Linked DNA regions of Pelodiscus sinensis. The protein of the gene in region 1 purifies or fractionates together with the protein of each later gene. This does not show direct contact. Links are inferred from orthologs where the notes say so. Each region holds a gene or a part of one and is shown in the gene's direction. Other genes may lie near its edges.

The links.
Region 2: the proteins of E3 ubiquitin-protein ligase RNF146-B (region 1) and DNA repair protein XRCC1 purify together in Homo sapiens (co-immunoprecipitation; 3 studies listed by BioGRID and IntAct, with this or other methods). This does not show direct contact. The link is inferred for Pelodiscus sinensis from reciprocal best matches to the Homo sapiens genes RNF146 and XRCC1.
Region 3: the proteins of E3 ubiquitin-protein ligase RNF146-B (region 1) and HLTF purify together in Homo sapiens (affinity purification with mass spectrometry; 4 studies listed by BioGRID and IntAct, with this or other methods). This does not show direct contact. The link is inferred for Pelodiscus sinensis from reciprocal best matches to the Homo sapiens genes RNF146 and HLTF.

What each region holds. Positions count from the first base shown.
Region 1 is NC_134713.1:90,564,219-90,571,266, forward strand, and holds the start of E3 ubiquitin-protein ligase RNF146-B, read left to right. Parts: upstream 1-4,047; 5' UTR 4,048-4,204; intron 4,205-4,260; exon of another isoform or gene 4,261-4,500; intron 4,501-4,865; exon of another isoform or gene 4,866-5,107; intron 5,108-6,511; exon of another isoform or gene 6,512-7,048. UniProt on the Homo sapiens protein: E3 ubiquitin-protein ligase that specifically binds poly-ADP-ribosylated (PARsylated) proteins and mediates their ubiquitination and subsequent degradation. May regulate many important biological processes, such as cell survival and DNA damage response.
Region 2 is NC_134734.1:124,565-131,755, forward strand, and holds the start of DNA repair protein XRCC1, read left to right. Parts: upstream 1-4,172; 5' UTR 4,173-4,281; coding exon 4,282-4,332; intron 4,333-4,498; coding exon 4,499-4,591; intron 4,592-5,175; coding exon 5,176-5,283; intron 5,284-6,111; coding exon 6,112-6,270; intron 6,271-7,112; coding exon 7,113-7,191. Other genes in the region: phospholipase A2 inhibitor and Ly6/PLAUR domain-containing protein-like, read right to left, coding at 1-93, 937-985. UniProt on the Homo sapiens protein: Scaffold protein involved in DNA single-strand break repair by mediating the assembly of DNA break repair protein complexes. Negatively regulates ADP-ribosyltransferase activity of PARP1 during base-excision repair in order to prevent excessive PARP1 activity.
Region 3 is NC_134720.1:25,563,036-25,570,330, reverse strand, and holds the start of HLTF (helicase-like transcription factor), read left to right. Parts: upstream 1-4,276; 5' UTR 4,277-4,392; coding exon 4,393-4,412; intron 4,413-7,295. UniProt on the Homo sapiens protein: Has both helicase and E3 ubiquitin ligase activities. Possesses intrinsic ATP-dependent nucleosome-remodeling activity; This activity may be required for transcriptional activation or repression of specific target promoters.

The sequences.
Region 1 (7,048 bases):
GGGAGTGAACATCATATTGGCACACTGAAGGATTGGTATCTAAATGAAACAGTGCCATTTTACACATCCTCAATCAGTTTCCAGCTGAGAAGGAACACATGGATTTTAATACAATTTTGTTGGTAAAAGCATAATATGTCTGATTTTTAACTTACATTTAACTTCTTACAGTTTTGTTCACATTCACAATGTGTAAATAAACCAATTTTTGAAGTATATAAGATTTAATGTGAGTTAAAATTTATAAACAAAAAACAAAACCCTCAACAGTTAGGTTGTTGGTGTGTAGAGCCCCCTGCCGTTCATGCTAACCAATATTGTAGCATTGTCTTAAGCAACTGGTAAAAATATTCTCCTTGGGAGCTGAGTAATACCATTAGGCTCTGATTTCTGGAGGGTTGCTGTTTCTAACCCAGCAAAATGTGGAGGGACTGCTCGGAAGGGGAGGTGGACAGTTGGGGAATGAGGCTGCCCACACACACCCTGAAGAGGCAGCTTCAGTTGTCCTAGGATGGGCCTGGCTCTCTGTTCCAGTCTATAGGCTCTTGCCACTTGTGTATTTCCACTGGAGCCGGCTCCTCTAATAAGGGGGGCAAATCATCAAAGCACCTCAAGAAGACAAGGAAGAGGGAGAGAAAAGGGAGAAAGTCACCAGCCTCACAGCAGCAACTGGGGGCATTGGGTCAGATCTTTAGCACAAATGGTGGTTGAAAGCAGGAATGAGAACTTGGGGAGGGGAGCAGTGCAAAGGGCAAGGGTGAAAAGTAAGCTGAGAGGGAGATCATGTGGAAATTGGAGGAATAGGAGAAGTTTTAAAAAGTGGATTTATTGGGGGATGGGGTTTGGAGGGATGGTAAGCTGTGGCAGGAGATGATTTGAGGACATGAAGGGGGGGGGCTTTAGGGAGTTGAGAAAGGGTTTCATCAGGGTGTTCAGCTTCAGCCAAAGGTAAGTTTATTTGGGGATATGGGAGTTGGCATGGCAGGGAGTTGAAGGCTGTGGCAGGAGGAGGTATGTACAGGTATATTTACTTGGGGGCAGAGTAATATGGATGGATTTAAGTGGTAGTTGGGGAGCTAGGTGGGGCATTATTTGCAAGTTGGGTGGGAGGCTGTTGGGGAGAGGTTAAGGGGAAGTGTGGGAGAGAAGTTATTTGGGATCTATGTTAGAAGCAGGTTTGGATGAGGGGGTCTGGAGCTATGAAGAAGGAAGTTTGTGACAGTGTTGGTGGCCACTGGCTGTATCTGGTGACTCTTCTTTGTGGCCCATGCTCTCTCTTATCTTTTGCTTGTCTGCCTTCCTCCCTTACTGACTCCAGCTGTGAGCACCAGGTAGGGATGGACTTGCCACTATACTAGGATTGGGACTTGCTTGCTGGGCACTGACCACACTCAGGATGGATTCTATCTGCAGTACCATGACAAGGTGTCATGGATTCACCTCACCATTGGGCTCCAGGGACTTTCTCTGCTTGTCCTGCTGCTGCATAGCCAAGCAACTCAGCACCAACCTGGCCTTAGCATTACCAGAGATGGGCTTTTTGCTGTGGAGCTGGGCTGCGCATTGTTTGCTTGTCCTCCCCCATAAATATGTCTGTTCTATATGTTGTCTCCTCTTAGACAGTAAGATATTTGGAGCAGGGTCTATCTACTGTACAGGCCTAGCACTATAAAGTATTAATCCAGATCCGTGGTGCTGTCACAATAAAGAGAATAGAAATAAATAGTACGCCAACAACAAAAAAGGATAGCCTCAAAGGTGTATGAAACTGCTCTTTGTGGTATTGTATAAGACCTATTTTACATCTTGTACACAATAAATAAAATTTTCTATTAGGAAAGTTTGTTGATTCACTAGAATAAATCACCTTTCCATTCTCCTTTTCATATCTGACAATATATGGACCTCAACACTTTTATTTCCAGGCCAAGGCTACAGTGTATTATTCTAGGTATCTAGTTTTGATATAGTCTGATATAGCATATAATCTAAGCACAGGAATGCTTGTTTTATAGTGAGGGTTGAGATATAGTTTACATCTCACAGTGAGTCTTAAGGGGAGACCCAGCACCGGCATTAACTGTTATGGCTCCTCCACAGATGCAATGGGACCAGAACTCATTTCCTTCTGTTGCAAAAATAGCACGTTCCTTTTGTAATCTGCACTGCAGGACAGTAGAGTATGACTCATGGCAGGATGCTCGGCCATGGCAGAAGCAGCTAATACAAACACACACACGTTTGTCAAAACTTAAAAAACAAATTATCCTACAGCCAGTTCAGCGGCGTTATGATACAATACTGCCAACAAGTGTGCAAAAATCATGAGCCACACACCCCAGCAATCTTGGCTATGATTTAAAAATAATTAAAAAAAACCAATACATTTTAGTACTTTTTATTTAGTTGTGGGGCCATTAGTGTGCTGTCATGCTGTGTTTTGAAGCTATTCTTTGCAACTATAATGGCTAAAAATTACCTTTTTAATGGAAGTTGAGATTATCACATAATCACTTCAGTCAGGGAACTGGGGCTTTATGAAAGCCAGCAAATACTGTGACACTCACAATCAAATTGTGTTAGGATGCACAGCAGGGCTCAACCCATGTTAGTTAAAGCACTGCTGATTTTCATTGTGCAGTATAATCGTTAATGAGTGTGGTGACACCTACAACACTAACAATTTCAGGCATGTATAAAAAGGGTAGAGAGAAGGTACAGTAAGTTTACCCTGGATGTTGCACTGGTGAGAACATAAGAATGGTTATACTGGATCAGACTAGCTACTCATCTAGCCCCAGTATCCTAGCTTCTAACAGTGGCCAATGCCAGGTTCCCCGAAAGAATGAACCAGTAATCGTCAGGGCTGTGTCTACATTGGCAAGATTTTGCACAAAAGCGGTTGCTTTTACATAAAATCTTGCCACCTGTCTACATTGGCCGCGAGTACTTGCGCAAGAACACTAACGTTCTAATGTATGAAATCAGTGCTTCTTGCGCAACTACTCTTGACGCTCCCGCTCAGGGTTCAGGCAACGTTAATTACTTGTGCAAGAAAGCCCGATGGCTAAAATGGCCAGCAGAGCTTTCTCATGCGAGAGCATCTACACTGGCACAGATGCTTTTGCACAAAGGCACGTGCCAGTGTAGACGCTCTCTTGCGCAAATACTTTACGCAAAAACTTGTGTTAAAAGTATTTGCGCAAACTCCTGCCAGTGTAGACGTAGCCCAAGTGATCCATCCCGTCACACATTCCCAGCTTCTGACAAACAGAAGCTAGTGACAACATCCCTGCCCATCCTGTTTTTTAGCCATTGATGTACCTATCCTCCATGAACCACTACTCTTTTTTGAGGCCTGAAATAGTCTTGGGCTTCACAACATCCTGTAGCAAGGAGTTCCACAGGTGGACTGTGTGTCGTGTAAAAAAAAAATACTTTCTTTTGTTTTAAACTTACTGCCTGCTAATTTAAGACCCATACTGGAACACTGTGTACAATTATGGTGTCCCCCTTTTAAAAAGGAAAAGATTGGAGAGGTGCGCAGAAGAGCCACTAAACAATCTGAGGGCCAGGAAAATCAATGTCTTACAGTGAGACGCCTAAAGAGCTCAATGCTGGGTCAGACCAAAAGGTTCTGGCCTAAAGAGATTAATGTTGGGTCAGCCCGAAAGGGCTCAATGGATTTTAGCCCATCACAAAGACCAGGGTGCACCATAAAATCCCAGCTCCGATCCAAAGAGACGCTCTAGTGCAGCGGCAGGAGCCAGGCGCAGGCAAAAGGAGGGCTCTTTTTTCACAGGGCGGGTGGGGGGCGAGTCACCACTGACGGGAGGTAGGTGCAGCGGCGTCTCCGCCTCGTGCTGCTCAGCGGGAAGATTTGCTTTCGCCAAACGCGGGCGCTGGCTGCAGGGCTGAGGTCGCCGCCCGCGAGGCCCAGCCTGAGCCCCCCCGCTTGACGGCTGGAGAAAGCGAGGGGGGGGGGTGTCGAGTTACCGCCGCTGCAAACCACGCGGGGGCGCTGGGTTTCCGCGGCGCAGGAGCAGCCGGGTCTAGGCTGCGGGGGCGGCCGCTAACGCACGTAACGGCCGCCCCGCAGCAGCCCCCCCCCCAAGCCCTGTGGGCGTTCAGCGGCCGCACAACAGCCGCGGGTGCCTAAGCAACAAGGAGCGCGCGAGTGAACACGCGCCGCAGGAAGGCGGCTGTGAGTATTATGGGCTGGAGAGGAGGTCTCCGCAGACAGGCACCGCGGAAGGAGGGAGGAGCTATTTGGGCGCGCGCCAGTAGCGTCTCGGTATCGACACCCCCTCTCGGGCTTCCCCCGTGGGAGAGTGTCTGACCGCTCCGTTTTGCCCCTCCCTCCACTCTCGTTCCCCCGCCCCTCTGCGCCCTGACGTCGTCGCGTCTCGCTCTCGCGACAGCAGGTGACGGCGGCTGGGGCGGCGGTTCGCTCGCTAGCCCAGCGGCGAAGACACGGAGCAGCGCGAGCCGGGCCCGCGGGTGAGTCCGTGACGCCGCCGCGTTCTAGAGCTCGCCGCTGGGAAGCCAGGGGCTTACGCGCGCGGGGAGGTTCCGCTCATTCTCCCCGCGGCTCCCGCTGGGGCCTGCCCGCCTCGGGGCTGGAGCGGAGGCCGGACTCGCTGTGCGAGGCTCCGGACAAAAGGCCACAGCGCCCCCCCCCCCCCCCCCCCCCCCGGGGCGGTAGCTGCCTGTGGAGTCCCGCCCATCGGGCCAGGGCCCGGAGCCCCCGGCGGAGTGGGGCTGTGTTGTGTGGCAGCTGCGTAACCCCCGGTTACATGACATCGGCTGCCCCTCCCCCCCCCCCCCCCCCCCCCGGCTGGGACTGTGCTTATTTATTCCTTCCCCCGAGCTCAGCCCGCGATAGGGACCAGCCTGACCCGCTGGGGAGGGGCAGCGCCTCGGATCGGGGAAACTTGGCCCGGCTCAACATTTTTGTTTTCTTAAAAATAAACCGGCAAACTTAGCAGATTTGTAACTCATCCAAAGGGTTGGATCGCGCTCGGGGGTGTCCCTTGGGAGGTCGGCAGCCCAAAGTGGGCTGTGATGAAAATAGGCTTCGTAGCGTTTTTGTATGGTTTGCCCAGAGGTCTGTTGCTATGCATATTTTTTATTGACTTAAATGTTCACGGTTGTGGGAAATAATTGATTGTTTGGCCACCTCTTATTGACAGTGGATGTTGTGATTCAAGAAGGTGAAACACAAATTGTCAGCATCACATATCAAAACATACAAACTACCTGTCTTCCAGTCAAGCTTTAATAAGCAGTATTTTTCTTCTGTCTTCATGTAAATTTTCATTTTCATTGATGGACATATTTTTTCTTGGGTTTAGGTGTAAATGAAATTGATGTTTACCAACATTTACTAATATACATATTATATTTCTAAGCTTAAGTATAAGTAATATCAAATATTTGACATTTTATATGAAGTCTTACATTCAAATTTCTTTTAATACCTTCACACATGGTTGTTTTGTTTGACTATTTTGTTCGACATATTTGTAGTGTTTTCCACAGTTTCTTCTGTTGTTGGATATTTTGAAGAGTTATTGGAGATATATTTGCATGTCAATTCTTAGTTAAGGATGTAACAGTATAACTGTTTATTAACTGATAAATATGAGCTTATTGTTACCGTAACAGTTACATGCCAGCTCCCAGCCCCGCTGCCACCGTGTGTTGCTCGTTCAGAGCCTGCAGCGCAGGGTGGCAGCTGGCTTCCTGGGAGTGGGGCCGGGATGTGCTCAGGAGCCACTGTGCTCGGGAACCGCCTTTTAAGAGCACACTGGGAGCCAGCAGTGCATGGTGACAGCCAGCTCCACAGGAGCTGGCATGTAACTGTTACAGTAACAATAAGCTCATGCTTATCAAATACCTGTTTAAACAATTATATTGCACATCCCTAATTTTAATGTTTTAAATGTACAGTATTTTGTATACCCTGTTATCAAATGGTAAATTACATCAGAAATGTTTAAGGTACTTGAGGTCTAAAAAAGTGCTCACACTTTTAGTGATTTTTTTTGGGGGGGAAGGGGAGAGAGGAGGTGGAGGTAACTGACAGTTGGGCCCTTGGATTTCCTTGCAACACTTTGTGGCTACGTCTACACTGGCCACAATTTCCGGAAAAGCCACGCAAATCAGGTAAGTCAGGATAGGGAAATCCGCAGGGGATTTAAATAAACATGTCCGCTGCTTTTTTTCCGGCTTGGGGAAAAGCCGGAAAAAAAGCGTCTAGACTGGCGCGATCCTCCGGAATAAAGCCCTTTTCCGGTGGATCTCTTATTCCTACTTCGAAGTAGGAATAAGAGATCCACCGGAAAAGGGCTTTATTCCGGAGGATCGCGCCAGTCTAGATGCTTTTTTTCCGGCTTTTCCCCAAGCCGGAAAAAAAGCGGCGGACATGTTTATTTAAATCCGCGGGGGATATTTAAATCCCCCGCGGATTTCCCTATCCTGACTTACCTGATTTGCGTGGCTTTTCCGGAAATTGTGGCCAGTGTAGACGTAGCCTGTGTGTTTAAATGGAAGGTGAAGATAGACCAGTGGCCCAGTTTTCTGGTACAATGAATAGATAAATAGCCTTTCCACTGAAATTAATAGACTACTAGGGCTATCGGGTAAATATAATTTTAATCTTAAAAGCAACCTATATTTGTATGATCCAAGAAATTGAAAGCCTGTAGCTCACAATAAAGAGAATTAAATGTGTTAACTCTTTTACTGAATTGTATGATAATTGTCTTATCCTGTAGACTGTAAATTGTAGTTTATTTTATTTACTTGTCTGGTAGAGTACATTCCAGAATATGTAGTAATTGTTAGAAGGAATAAGATACAGAACTTATTTTTGTGCTTCTCAAATTTGATATCTTAAAGGAAATACTGTAGTTTGAAAATGCACACTGAGGCAGCAGTAAAGTGTTGATAGTTGACTGTTTAAAACTAGTCTTTGGAACTACTCTTTAAAATGGATTATTGAGATGGAGCATTTGTCAGATAGTATTGAATTAACAGTGAAACC
Region 2 (7,191 bases), on another chromosome or scaffold:
TGAGGCAGGAGGTGTGGGAGGGCTCGCAGTCCTGCGGCTCTCCGGAGCACGCCTTGTCAGCGCTGGTGCAGCGTTCGCACTGAAGGCAGCATCCTGGGGAGGGAGGGGGTTGGGGGGGTAACCTGTAGGGTCGCCAACTTCTCCCCCCCCCCCCCAGATCATTCCAGTGCGGCAGCCTGGCCTGGTCTCCCGCAGCGCTCCTTCCAGGCACTAGCAGAGCCTGGCTTGCAGCAGCTGTTCTGGGAGCCAGGACTCCTGGGTTCCTTGGTTAGGGAGTGGAGTCTAATGGTTAGAGCAGGAGGGTGAGTGAAATGGAGCTGCCAGAAGGCCTGGGTTCTCTCCCTGGCTCTATGGGGGCAATGGGGGGGGTAGTGGTTAGAGAGGGAGCTCTGGGGAGTCAGCGGGGGGCAGTGGTTAGAGCAGGGCCAGTGCCGAGGGCAGCGGGGGGTAGTGGTTAGAGAGGGAGCTCTGGGGAGTCAGCGGGGGGCAGTGGTTAGAGCAGGGGCAGTGCCGAGGGCAGCGGGGGCAGTGGTTAGAGCAGGGGCAGTGCCGAGGGCAGCGGGGGCAGTGGTTAGAGCAGGGGCAGTGCCGAGGGCAGCAGGGGCAGTGGTTAGAGCAGGGGCAGTGCCGAGGGCAGCGGGGGCAGTGGTTAGAGCAGGGGCAGTGCTGAGGGCAGTGAGGGGCAGTGGTTAGAGCAGGGGCAGTGCCGAGGGCAGCGGGGGCAGTGGTTAGAGCAGGGGCAGTGCCAAGGGCAGCGGGGGCAGTGCCGAGGGCAGCGGGGGCAGTGCCGAGGGCAGTGAGGGGTAGTGGTTAGAGCTGGGGCAGCGGGGGGCAGTGGTGAGCGTGGGGGCAGCCCCTGGGGCAGCGGGGGGCAGTGGTTAGAGGGAGGGCAGCCCCAAGGGTGGGGGCGGTGGTTGGCGCCAGACTCCCACTCACCGGTGGCCAGCAGCGCCGCGAGCAGGCAGAGGGCGAGGCGGGCGGCCATGGTGCCGAGCCGAGCGCCGGGCAGGAGGGCAGCTGACCGTTGGATGCAGCCAGCCCTGCATCCGTGGGGATTTATAGCTGCGGGGCCTGGGAACAGCCAGTTCCTGGAGGGATCCGGCTGCGGGGCCATCAATTACCTGGCCTGGCCCTCTCACAGGTGGCCACGTCTGCCTTTCCTGCCAGCCGGACCCGCCTGGGGACGTGGCACCACAGCCCAGGGCCGCCCCTGCCAGGCCGGGGGGATCTGGGGCGGGGAGAGGCCGGGGCTGGGACATGGGGCGCCTGAGAGCATCCTCATCCCCCGTTGCCCCAGCCCAGACCCCCCCCACGGGCCTTCTGCCCCTAGCGCAGGGTTCCCGGAGGGGGGAGCCCAGCAGGGACACGGCCGGCCGGTGCCCAATGTGGGCAGGGTCTGAGCTCTAGGGGGGACACAGCCCCAATGCCAGGGAGACGGGCTCCGAGCACCCCACACGCTCAACAGCCACCAGCAAGATTCCCACGCTGGAGCACGGGCTGCCGGCCGGCTGGTCCGCAAACCCCGGGCGTGCGAGGCGCTGCCACGGGCACAGACAGGCTCCTGCAGGCCGGGCCAGAGCCCCCGGAGCCGGGTTAGGGGGAAACTCCCTCCGAAGAGGCTCTGGGGCACCTACCCCCACCCCAGGCTGGGCCCAGAATGGCGCGGTCCCAGGGCAGTAAGGAGCCCTGAGAGGCCACACGATGCTGCTTGTATCACTGCCCAAAGGAGGGGTCCACTCTGGGTGGGGACTGGGGCCTAGTGGTTAGAGCGAGAGGCGGTGGGGGCCAGGACTCCTGCGTTCTAGCCCCAGATCCTGGAGAGCAGTGGTGTTGAGCGGTGAGAGGGGGCAGGCAGGGAACCAGGACTCCTGGGTTCTTACCCCACATCTGGGAAAGCAGTGGGGTCTAGTGGTTAGAGGGGCTGGCGGGGCGCCCAGGTTTCTGTCCCAGCCCTGGGAGGCCAGCAGGGGTCAGTGGTTGGAACAGGCTGGCCAGCTGTCAAACAATGGCCTTTTGTTTCCCGCACTGATTTATTGGGGACTGGCTGCAGGGAAGGAACCAGAATTGCCCCCACCCAGGAGTGGCAGGAGGGGGGTTCACGGCCCCACATGGGGGAACCTCCTGGGGGGCTGGAGCACAGACCCAGCCGCAAGGAGGGCGCAGTGTTGGGGACCAAAGGGGGGGTCTGGAGCAATGGGCACCTTGGGACCACCCCACTCCCGGGTGATGCTGGTGTCAGGGTGGGGGGCAGGTGGCCTCATGTGAGTGTGAGGGGGCCCGGCCAGCTGTCTGGTGGGACGGAGAGCAGCCTCTTGGGGGTCTGGCCCTGGGCCCGGAGGGGATCAGCCAAACCTCTCTGGCCCCCGCGTCTGCGCTGTGGCTGATCCCTGCCCCCAGGGCAGGGGGGCAGATGGTAAGTGGTAGCTGCCGCAGGCGGCTCTAGGTGACACGGGGAGCTGGCCGGGCTGGGGACAGCGGCGGGGGCTGGAGAACCCCCCCCGCCAGCCTCCCGCCCTGCCCAAGTGCAGCGAATGCCCCAGCTCGGCACGACATCTTCTCCCAGGCCCGGTGGGTCTCGGCCCTGGGGCAGCTCAAGCCAGGGCCCCCCTGGCTGGCATTTCAGCACGGGGGGGGGGGCAGTTCAGCATGGGGGGCATCTGCTGGAGGCCCTAGGAACCGAGTGTGGGGCAGGGATTGTTACAGACTATGGTGGGCTCAGCCCAGGGCCGGGAACCCTGTCCCACGCCCCGCGGGGGCTGGGACTCCAGGGTTGGATCTGTGGGGAGTGGGGGCTAATGGTTAGAGGGGACCCGGGAGCCAGGACTCCTGGGTTCTCTCCCAGCTCTGATCCCTGGCGGAGGCCCGGGGCCCAGGGTGCTGAGGGAGGCCTGGCTGGGCTGGCTGGGGGCCGGCCTGTGCAGCACAGAGAGTTTCTGGCCCAGGCCCCAGAGAGGCCCGGGACAGGCAGGCAGAACGGCAGCAAAGGCTGAAGCTGGAGTGACAGCCCCGGGCCCCCCTCGCGGGCTCTCCCGGGCTCTGATGCCTGGCTGGAGGGGCAGGCCTGGGTGCTAATTAGGGTGACCCTTTTTAAAGGGACAGCGCCATATTTAAGCCCTCCCAGGGGAGTCCCAATTTTTTCTTAAAAATGGATGCAGCTCCCGTCCCTCCTGCATGGTGCCGAAAGGGCTCCTGCTGGCCTCCTGGTATGACCCTGCCCCTGCCTGCCCCCCACCCGCTGCCTCAAGAAGGCGCAGCACTTGGTACCAGGAGAGGCGGGTCCATCCTGGCATCCCAGCCAGGCATGGGGGGTGCAGAACACTGGGCAGGGTGGGTTGGGTCAGGCTGATTGGCCACACTCACCCCTGTGCGAGAGAATGTGGGAAAGTGTGGGTGTGCCCTGTCCCCTTGCAAGAGAGTGTATAGGAATGAGTGTGTCCCCTGTCCCTATGTGAGAGAGTGTATAGGAATGTGTGTGCCCTTTCCCTGTGCAGGAGAGTGTGCAGGAATGTGTGCGCCCTGTCCCCGTGCGAGAGTGTGCACAGGTGTGAGCGTGTCCCCGTGCAGGAGAGTGTGCAGGAATGTGTGCGCCCTGTCCCCGTGCGAGAGTGTGCACAGGTGTGAGTGTGTCCCCGTGCAGGAGAGTGTGCAGGAATGTGTGCGCCCTGTCCCCGTGCGAGAGTGTGCACAGGTGTGAGTGTGTCCCCGTGCAGGAGAGTGTGCAGGAATGTGTGCGCCCTGTCCCCGTGCGAGTGTGCACAGGTGTGAGCGTGTCCCCTGTCCTTGTGCAAACCTGGCAGCCAAGAGGGTGACTACAGGCCCCAGCTGGTAGGGTTCTGGTGAGCAGGGGCTCGGTGACCGAGCTGTGATTTGCACGTGTGCACGGTTGTGGTGAGCTGTTGGTGAGCTCGCGTGCGCACGAAGCGCGGCACCAGCGATCGCCCCGAGCCCCGGCAGAGAGGAAGGGGGCACGTGCTCCATGACGTCATGACGGCCTTAGAGGCGACTTTCCTTCTGTGCCGCCAGGGGGGGCAGCACCGGTGGCAAGGCGCATGCGCCGCGATCGAGCGGGGAACGCGGGAAAGAGGCGCGAAGGGGCCACCGGCGCGCGCCGCTTCAGGCGACGCCGGGCGCTGCGCATGCGCATAGCCTCTCGCTGCGCAGCGGCGCCTGCGCAGAGCGCTCGGAGGACCGGGCGCACACAGAGCCGGAGGCGCAGAGCGGTTCTGCTTCCGGCGGGCGGCGGAGTTTTGCTCCCGGGTCGGGGCGGCGCGGAGCGCGGCGATGCCGGAGATCGGGATCCGTCATGTGGTGTCCGCGAGCAGCGCCGACCCGGTGCGGGGCAGACCATTCCGGGGGGGGGGCTGGGAGAGACCATTAGGGAGTGGGGGGGTCCCGGGGAGGCGGGAGGGGCATTCCCCGTGGAGCGCGGGGGAGCAGGGCGGGAGAGTCCATTCCGCGCGGGGGTGCGCGGCCCCCTGACAGTCTCCCCCCCCCCCAGACTCACTGCGCCGAGAACCTGCTCAAGGGCGACACCTACCGCAAGTGGCGGGCGGCGCAGCCCGGCGAGAAGCAGCTGTCAGTCATCCTGCAGGTGGGGGCGGGGCGCCCGGACCCCTGGGCTCTGGGGGGGGGGAGGGGCGGGGAGCCCGGACCCCTGGGCTCTGGGGGGGGGGGAGGGGCGGGGAGCCCGGACCCCTGGGCTCTGGGGGGGGGGAGGGGCGGGGAGCCCGGACCCCTGGGCTCTGGGGGGGGGAGGGGCGGGGAGCCCGGACCCCTGGGCTCTGGGGGGGGGGAGGGGCGGGGAGCCCGGACCCCTGGGCTCTGGGGGGGGGAGGGGCGGGGAGCCCGGACCCCTGGGCTCTGGGGGGGGGAGCCCGGACCCCTGGGCTCTGGAGGGGGGTGGGGGGGGGAGCCCGGACCCCTGGGCTCTGGGGGGGGGGTGGGGGGGGGGAGCCCGGACCCCTGGGCTCTGGGGGGGGGAGGGGCGGGGAGCCCGGACCCCTGGGCTCTGGGGGGGGGAGGGGCGGGGAGCCCGGACCCCTTGGGCTCTGGGGGGGGGGAGGAGCGGGGAGCCCGGACCCCTGGGCTCTGGGGGGGGGAGGGGCGGGGAGCCCGGACCCCTGGGCTCTGGGGGGGGCTCGTCCCCGGCCGTGACTGTCCCCTCCCCGGCGGCAGTTCGAGAAGGAGGAGCGGATCCACAGCATCGACGTGGGCAACGAGGGCTCGGCCTTCGTGGAGGTGCTGGCCGGCAGCTCCGCCTCGCCCAGCGAGCAGGACTACGAGGTGAGAGGAGGGAGCCGCCCGTGCTGGGCTCCGGGCGCCCCCAGGCCTGGGTGGGGGGCGGGAGGGCCGAGGGTGGATCGGGTTCAGCGACCCCTGGGGGGTTGGGTCAGGTCCATCGGCCACTCTCATCCGTCTGTGAAAGAATGCGGGAAAGTGTGTGTGTCCCCTGTCCCCGTGCGAGACAATGTGCAGGAATGTGTGTGTCTCCTGTCCCCGTGCGAGACAATGTGCAGGAATGTGTGTGTCTCCTGTCCCCGTGCGAGACAATGTGCAGGAATGTGTGTGTCTCCTGTCCCCGTGCGAGACAATGTGCAGGAATGTGTGTGTCTCCTGTCCCCGTGCGAGACAATGTGCAGGAATGTGTGTGTCTCCTGTCCCCGTGCGAGACAATGTGCAGGAATGTGTGTGTCTCCTGTCCCCGTGCGAGACAATGTGCAGGAATGTGTGTGTCTCCTGTCCCCGTGCGAGACAATGTGCAGGAATGTGTGTCCCCTGTCCCCGTGCGAGACAATGTGCAGGAATGTGTGTGTCCCCTGTCCCCGTGCGAGACAATGTGCAGGAATGTGTGTCCCCTGTCCCCGTGCGAGACAATGTGCAGGAATGTGTGTCCCCTGTCCCCGTGCGAGACAATGTGCAGGAACGTGTGTGTCTCCTGTCTCCGTGAAGGAGAGTGTGTAGGGATGAGTGTGCCCTGTCCCCGTGCCAGAGAGTGTGCGGGAATGTTCCCAGAGGTCTTGGTCCCTTTGGACTGGGGTGGTGACGGGATTTGGGGCGGGGGACACCGGAGGGTTAGGGAGCCTTCTCTACACCAGGGTCCCTCCTCCCCAGGTGCTGCTGGTCACCTCGTCCTTCATGTCGCCCTCGGAGAGCAAGGCCGGCACCAACCTCAACCGGGTCCGGATGTTTGGCCCAGACAAGCTGGTGAAGGCCGCGGCTGAGAAGAAATGGGACCGAGTGAAAATTGTCTGCACTCAGCCCTACACCAAGGTGGGGCCCCTCGCACGCTGGCCAGGGTGGAAGGGATTCCGCGGGGGTGAGCCAAAGGGGCAGTGCGGATCAGTGGCCATTTTCACTACACCCTGCTGAGGTGGGGCAGGGGTGACGTGCTCCAGGGACAGTCCGGACTGGGGAGTAGCTGTGTCGCTGGGACACTCGAACCCGACTGCCTCTGGGTCCAAAGAAAAATTATCAGAGAGAAAGACACAAGCCAGACCTTCCTTTACCATGCTCAGTGACTGGAGAGCAAGGAGGGCTTTTCTCTTTCGCAGGCTGAATTTCCTTTCAAGCTGGGACTCTCCCCTTTGGTTCAATCCATCCAGCGTTCACTGATAACATGAAATGGGAGAGGTGAGGTAGAAGCCCCTGGTATCCTTCTCCCCCATTGCCTCTCATCTTATGTACATGCGGCTTGAACTCTCTCTTGTATACAATGAACATTTCTTATTCACGCATTTCCCCTGTTGGAGACTGGCTGCCAGAGCACGTAATGCCTGGTGGGGTATTGAGCTGGTCTCTGTCTACCCAGGAGGTAGTCTGGGGGTATTCCCCACAGTAACTTCAGAGTAGAAGGTTATAGCTTTATACACAGAGTTGTTCCACATTTTAACAGGACAATGATGTTCTGCAGATTATGAGTTTTCACATGATACTTCCCGAGGCAGACTTTGTACCAAATGTATGATAACAGTGTGAAAGTGGACACAGTGGGTAAGTGGAGGAAGGATGAGGTCTAGTGGTTAGACCGGGGACAGGGGCTGTGAGCCAGGACTTCTGGATTCTCTCTCCAGCTCTGCCAGTGAGTCACTTTCTTTCTGGCTGATCTCCTGTAGACCTTGGCTTATGGGCTGTCCTTCGTGAAGTTCCACTCGCCGCCCGAAAACAATGAAACCCCATCAAAATCTGCCTCTC
Region 3 (7,295 bases), on another chromosome or scaffold:
TCCTCCTTGATTGGATCCACCTGGTCATCTCCAGCCTGATCCTGGCCTGCATATTTATTCCTGCCTCTGGAAATTTCCACTACATGCATCTGACGAAGTGGGTCTTTGCCCACGAAAGCTTATGCTCCTACACTTCAGTTAGTCTATAAGGTGCCACAGGACTCCTCATCGCTTTTGTATTTATAGTTGGCATTATATCTTCCAACGTGCGTTACTTTGCACTTACCAATGTTGAATTTCATCTGACATTTTGTCACCCAATTCTCACTTTTGTGAAATTCCTTTATACTTCTTTGTAGTCAGTTTTGATCTTAACTGTCTTGAATAATTTTGTATTGTTTGCAAATGTTGGCACCTCTTGTCCATCGCCTTTTCCAGATCACTTATGGATATTCTGAACAGAATAGGTCATAGTACATATCTGTGAGGGACCCAGAAATTCACCTCTCTCTGTTTTGAAAACTGACCATTTCTTCCTAACCTTTGCTTCCTTTTAACCCATCACTAGACTCTCATCTCGTAATCCATGAGTATTTACTTTGCTCAAGAGGCTTTGGTGTGGGACCTAGTGAAAGGCTTTCAGAAAGTCCAAGTACACAGTATCAACTGGATCTTCTTTGTTCGCTTGTTGAGCCCCTCAAAGACTTCTAAAAGATTGGTGAAGCATGATTTCCACTATTTTTATTCTCCTGTTTTCCCTATCATCTACTATATATTTGAGAACTTGTGAGTAAGTCTGTCCAGCTGTTTGTTCAAGAACTCCTCCTAAATGGTAAGAGATAGGACCACCAAATTTGGAATAAAAGAAAGTGAATCATAACTTAAAGCAAGATAAAGGTTTGGTTTTGCACTGGGATGGGGCAGGCTGAAGCTCCCTCCTCCCCTTCCCCCCCGCCATGCAAAAAGGGATACATACAACAATATAGAAATCACCAGGCTGATGAAAGGAGCTGGTTGGGGTGTGTCCCACGGCCAGGACTGTCCTAGGCCCGGGCCTCCCATCCCTCAGGTACCCTTTAGCGAGGGTGGGGGGAGCTGCAGCTCCACCCCCCATTTGCATGGGAACATGCTGGCTGTTCCTCTTCTATCAGGGAGTGAGGGGAAAATACACAGTTTGCTCCATTCCTCAATCTGGGGAGTGTAGTGAACAGACAAATCTGGACCTGCCCCAGCCAGGGGACATGAACCCCTTCCCTGGCTATGCCTCCTGGAGCTGCAGCAACCATGGAGAAGTGCTTCTCACCTGACTCCAAGCTGCTATGGACCCGAGCAATGCCTGAAATCTTCTAGTTTCTTATAATCATGAATTCATCATTTGATGATCACTTTCACCCAAGGTACTTCCTACATTCAGATTCTCAAACAATTCTTCCCTTTTTGTCAAAATCATATCTGTAACAGCCTCCCCTCTAGCTCAATGTTTTCTCAAAGTGGTCCACGAAACCACTTTGAGAAACCTATTAACTGCCCTCGCCGGTTTGTTTATTTACTGGCGCTGTGGCCATGGAGCCTCGCTGTTCCTATTGGCTCCATTTCGCTGTTTTGAGCCCAGGTGAGCTGCGGGAAGCAGCAGCCCAGCCCACACTGCTTCCTAGGGCTCCCGTTGGCTGCAAACTGCAAAATGGAGCCAATGGCAGTGCGCAGGAGTCCTGGGATGCAGTGGAGCTGCTGGGGACAGTCCCTGGCAGCAGTGTTGTGCAGAGTGCAGAGCTCCGGGCACAGGAGTCAAGATTGCTGGGAGGGAGGGTGTCAGCACAAGCTGGGGGTGCAGGGTTTTGGTTGGGGAGGGGACTGAGTGATGGGATTGAGGTGTGGGGGGTCTGGGCATGAGGAGGAACTCTTACCTAGCTTTGCGTCCCCTTGTGAGGAAAGCTTCTGGACAGCGTGTCACTGTGCTGCTGTTCCCACACCAGGGCAGGTAGGGCAAGGGGAGAGAAAGCGGCAACACACAAAGTGCACCTGCGAAGCCCAAGCACGCCCTGCCCTGCAGTGCCCTAGTTGGGCTCTGCAAGGCCCCTGCCCGGGCTGAAGCTGCAACTCCAAAGCACTGAGGGCTAGAAGCAGCTCCACTGGGTTTTGCAGTTGCCTCACAAGGGTGGAATTGTGGCAGGATGGAGTGTGGGGAGGGGAGAGGACAACAGCCATGCACTCTGTGATGCGGCTTGTTTTTGATCCCGTTCCCCAGGTGTCTCAGGGAGTGCGGGGAAAGTGCTTGCATTCTTTGCATGCCTCTCACTCCTGGCTGGTGGGCTCAGAGCTGGGGTAAGGGGGTGAGGCACTGCGGGGCATGAGGGTTCTATCTGGGGGTGAGGCTCTGTGGATAGGGTGACCAGATGACTGGTTTTAAACTGAAACACTGAGTTGAAAAGGGATCCTGGTGGTTTTAGTCAGCACCACCAACTAGGTTGTTGAAAGTCCAGTTGGTGGTACTGTGGAGCTAAGGCAGGCTAGACTCTACCTGTCCTGGCACTACAGCAACGTCTTAGCCAGAATAGACCAGATGGGGGGGCTCAGACTTTGGGTGGGTGGGCAATGACTGGGGAGTAGCAATGATGCAGCTGCCTCTCCTCCTCCCTCAAGTAGCCTTGGAAGAGGGGAAGGGATAGATGCTCTGACCAGGGGCCCTCTTAAAAATGGGAGCCCCCATATAAATGTGCGATCCTCCCATTTGCTCCCCCCTCACTCAGGGCATGGGTATGTCCCATCCGCCCACCTGGCACTTCCAGCTAGCAGTGGAGTTGGAACTCTGGGGCTTGCCCTGCTCTGTTGCCCGGCACTCTGAGCATGGAACAGTCAGAGCACAGGGGCTTGCCCTGCTATGCCACCCAGCATGGATGGATTGCCAGGGCTTGCCCTGCTTCGCTGCCTGGAGCTCCCAGCAGGGAAGCTGGGTCAGGGCACAGAGGCTTGCTGGGAGAGCCAGGTGGAGGAGCAGGCTAATCTCCTGGGCTGTCGTCTACACTGGTGGATTATTGCATAAGAATGGCCGTTCTTGCGCAAGAACCCACAAAGCGTCCACACTGCCCATCTGCTCTTGTGCAAGAAGATTTACAGTACGGTGTCGGAAGACAGGGCTTCTTGTACAAGAGCTACGCTCTTTTCTAACAAGTGTAAGCCCTCTTGTGCAAGAGCTCTTGCAAAAGATGGCAGTGTGGATGTGCAGCAGGAGCTCCTTGCACAAGAAAGCCCTATGGCTAAAATGGCCATTAGAGCTTTCTTGCGCAAGAGAGCATCCACACTGCCATGGATGCTCTTGTGCAAAAGCACATGGCCGTGTGGACGTGTTCTTGCGCAAGAGTTCTTGCACAAGAACCCACCAGTGTAGATATAGCCCTGGAGCACTGAGTGGAGATGGGCAAGCCCTCATGGTCTGGTGGTAGTAGAGGCAGGGCGGTGGGTGGGCATGTATGCTAAGTGGCAGACCCATTCGTGCCTACTATCCTGCATCACACTGTGCCTGTAAACAGCTAGCAGGTTTGGCTCCTAGGTGGGGGAACCCACAAGGCTCCACATGCTGCACCTTCCCTGAGCACTGGTCCCATACCCCTGCTGCCTGCTTGCAGGGTGCAGCACAGAGCCAGGTCAGGTAGGAACCGCCTTCGCTCTGCAGCACTGCTGACCGAACTTTTAACAGCCAGGTTGGCAGTGCTGACTGGAACCTTCCAAATTCTTTTTCAACTGAGTGTTCCAGTTGAAAATCGGACACCTGGCAGCCCTGGGCTTGAAAAGTCAATCACCATTGAGTTGTTAGGTACTAATGCCACAAATTGATCCAGTGATATCAAGATGTGATGACATGCAATGAATAGACTTTAAATCTAGAAGGGGGCATTATTATAATCTAGTCTGGCCTGCATTACGCAGGCCAATCTCTTGCAGTAATTTCTGCATCAAACCCATAACTTGTTTGAGTTTCAGCGATGGGGCAGACCTTTTAGAAAGCCATCCTGTCCAGATTTAAAGACTGCAAGTGACAGAGACTCCACTGCTTCTCCAGGTGACCTCTTCTATGCCCGCTGTGCAGGGAGCCCGAAGGCCACCGCGGGCTGAGGTGTCAGTAGCGGGGGGTCGGGCAAGGGGAATTAATTGGCAACCAGGCTGTGGGTGCAGCCTCCTGGCCGCCGCGGCGGTGGAAGGGAGACGGTGGGACACAGGAAGCAGCCGCTCGAAGGCTTGGCGGCTCTTTTCGGTCGCACAGAGAACTCACGGAGAAAGTCCCGCCCCTCTGCCACAGCCCTGTTCTCATTGGCTGGGGCCTGTGACATGCGGGGTGAGATTGGTGTTGTTGTTGTCAATCAGGCTGGTAGCGCTGCACTGACGGCGGGCTGTGGGGGGAGGACGCTGCAGGATCTGTTCTGTGCCCTTAGCCGTGCGGCGGCCCCCAGCAGCGCCATGGCTTGGATGGACATGCGGTGAGGTCCCGTGGGGGCAAAGCGGGCGGGCCTTGTGCAATGGGCCAGCGAGGCCGGATGCTGGGAGAGCGGGCTAGGCCGAGGGGCCGGGCGCCTTGGGCCTGGGGAGAGAGGGGGTGGGAATGGACGTCCTGGGGCCGCGGGGGCCGGTGGGGCTGAGTGCCTTGAGCCTGGAGGGGAACAATGGGGGTGAGGCTGGACGCCGTGCTGGGGGGGGGGGGTGAAGGTGGGGCTGAGGCGAGGGGGGGACTGGGCACCCTGGGGAAATGGGGCTGAGGGAGTGGGACTGGGTGCCATGAGGGGTGTGTGTGTGTGTGGGGGGGGTGCATAGTGGAGCTGTGCCAGGAGTGTAAATGGTTACCAGGTAAGCATTAGGTTTACCGGGTAGTTAACTGGTTAAACTGGTTGGGTGGCAGGAATCAGGGCAGGGCAACAGCTGTGGCAGCCCTGTCTTAGCCCCACCAGACAGAGACAGGCAGGATCCTGGCAGCCCTGGCCCTAGGAAGGGCAAACAGGACCCAGGCCGGCTGCAGCCCCAGCCCCTCTGCATCTCGTGTGTGCCCTGCAGCATTACACTTAATCAGTTAAGCATTTTATTTAACTGGCTTACCGCAATTTCACATCTGCGGGCTGGAAACCAGCAGTGGATTAGACTTTTGGCTCTCTGGACTGGGAGGCTTCGGTGGGTTTGTACTTTCTTGATGTGTTACTTTAAGGACCTGACTGATCACAAACCAAGGCATCTGCCAGACCAGAGGAGGTCAATTTTGGCTCCTCTGCTGCTGCTTGCTGTGGGGTTCCACTCCAATGGCAGCAGATGGACTGGCATTGACCAAGCAAATGGAGGGAGCGCTTGGGGGAAAAAGGCCAGGTGGCTGCAGAGGCCCATAGGGTGGCACTCCTGCCTCTTCCATTGAGCATCACCCAGTTCCTGCTTCTCCCCCTTTGTCCCTGAGATTGAGCCCTGCAAATGAGCTATTTGTGGTGCTCTGGGAGGACAGGGGAGGAGTTGCTGAGGATGGGCCCTGGCTTTTCCTTATGAGTGCTCCAACCTGGGAACATCCACAGGGATGTCAGACCACATATGTTGCCAGTCTATAGAGGTCCAACCAATTGTTATGGAAACAGTTATCAGTTAGTGTTGAAGGGGAGAGAACGGCCAGTTCTCACTTTTTGTGAGATGACTGTCTTTTTCATACTCCCTTACTAATCCTGTGACCTCTGTTGTATCTCCTTAGTTGGGCTTTAGTGCTCTCTAAATGTTGGTATCTCACGTCAGTTAGACATGTTACATTAGTTAATTCTTTGTTACCACAACATGTCCAAATTAAGGCAGGGTTGTGAGCTATAAGGGATATTTCTGAGGAGGTAGGTATGGGGCAGGCTCCTCAGGCAGAGCAAAATGTAGCAGCCTGCCTTCTTAGTGAATTGTTCCTATTGTTCTTAGTGATGTTAAGATGCGGTTAATTGGCTAATCGAGTAGTCAATAAAAATACTATCGACCACTCAATTAGTTGATAAGGGAAGGCAGCCCCGCTCAGTTGTGGCTTGCTCCATGTCCAGGACTGGGACCTACCCCCTGCTGCAGCTCTGAAGTTGAAATGTACTAAAGGCCAGGCATGCAGGCAGCTCAGCTCTTACTACATTTAAAATGCAGAGCCACAGCAGGGGGTAGGTTCCTGGCCAGAGCAGCCCCTGTACATGCCCAGTTGATAGAGGCAGCAGCACAGGAGGGAGTACAGGTGGCACCACGGAGATGGTGCTGTGATGACCTGGCTTTTGTAATGGCTCCTGCTTCCTCCACCCCTTGCTGCCTCTTATAAAGAGGCAGTGGGGACGGACGGACAAATGTGAGTTGTCGAGTAGTTGACTAGCTTAACCGATAAGCCTAGGCTTATCAGTTAGTTGACTGTTTGCTTACATCCCTAATTCTTAGTGAATTTCCCCAGAAGTATATACAAGGTGTAAAAAATGTTAAGGCTCCTTTACATTGCCAGAGTGGTGTCAGTATGGCCTTATAAAAGCTTCTCGTACTTCAGTGATTAGAGCTGGTCTAAATTTGTGGACTGAAAATTTCCTATTAGAGTGTGGTCTATGAACTGTTTGCTACTGACCTTTCTGGAAATGGCCAGTAGTCAATTCAAATTGTAAGTAAGAGTGCCCAGCCCTCACTTGCTCTTCAGTTGCCTATGGTGTAACACTGAGCAAATGGCTGTATATATTTGTTGATCAATAAAGTGTCAGTACTAGCTACGTTACTATTAAAGGGGATTTGAGGAGTTCCTTCGGTGTTCTGTTTTTCATCCATTGTACTGTAGTTTTAAATATAATTAACCAAAATAATTGAAACAAGCATGATTATACTGAAAGAGATCTTGGCGTCATTGTGGATAGTTCTCTGAAGACATCCATGCAGTGTGCAGCGGCAGTCAAAAAAGCAAACAGGATGTTAGGAATCATTAAAATAGGGATAAAGAATAAGATGAAGAATATCTTATTGCCCTTCTATAAATCCATGGTACGCCCACATCTTGAATACTAAGTACAGGTGTGGTCTCCTCATCTCCAAAAAGATATACTGGAATTAGAAAAGGTTCAGAGAAGGGCAACTAAAATGATTAGGGGTTTGGAACGGGTCCCATATGAGGAGAGATTAAAGAGACTAAGACTCTTCAGCTTGGAAAAGAGGAGACTAAGGGGGGGATATGATAGAGGTATATAAAATCATGAGTGGTATGGAGAAAGTGAATAAGAAAAAGTTATTTACTTGTTCCCTTAATATAAGAACTAGGGGCCACAAAATGAAATTAATGGGCAGCAGGTTTAAAACAAAAAAAAGGAAGTTCTTCTTTACACAGCGCACAGTCAACCTGTGGAACTCCT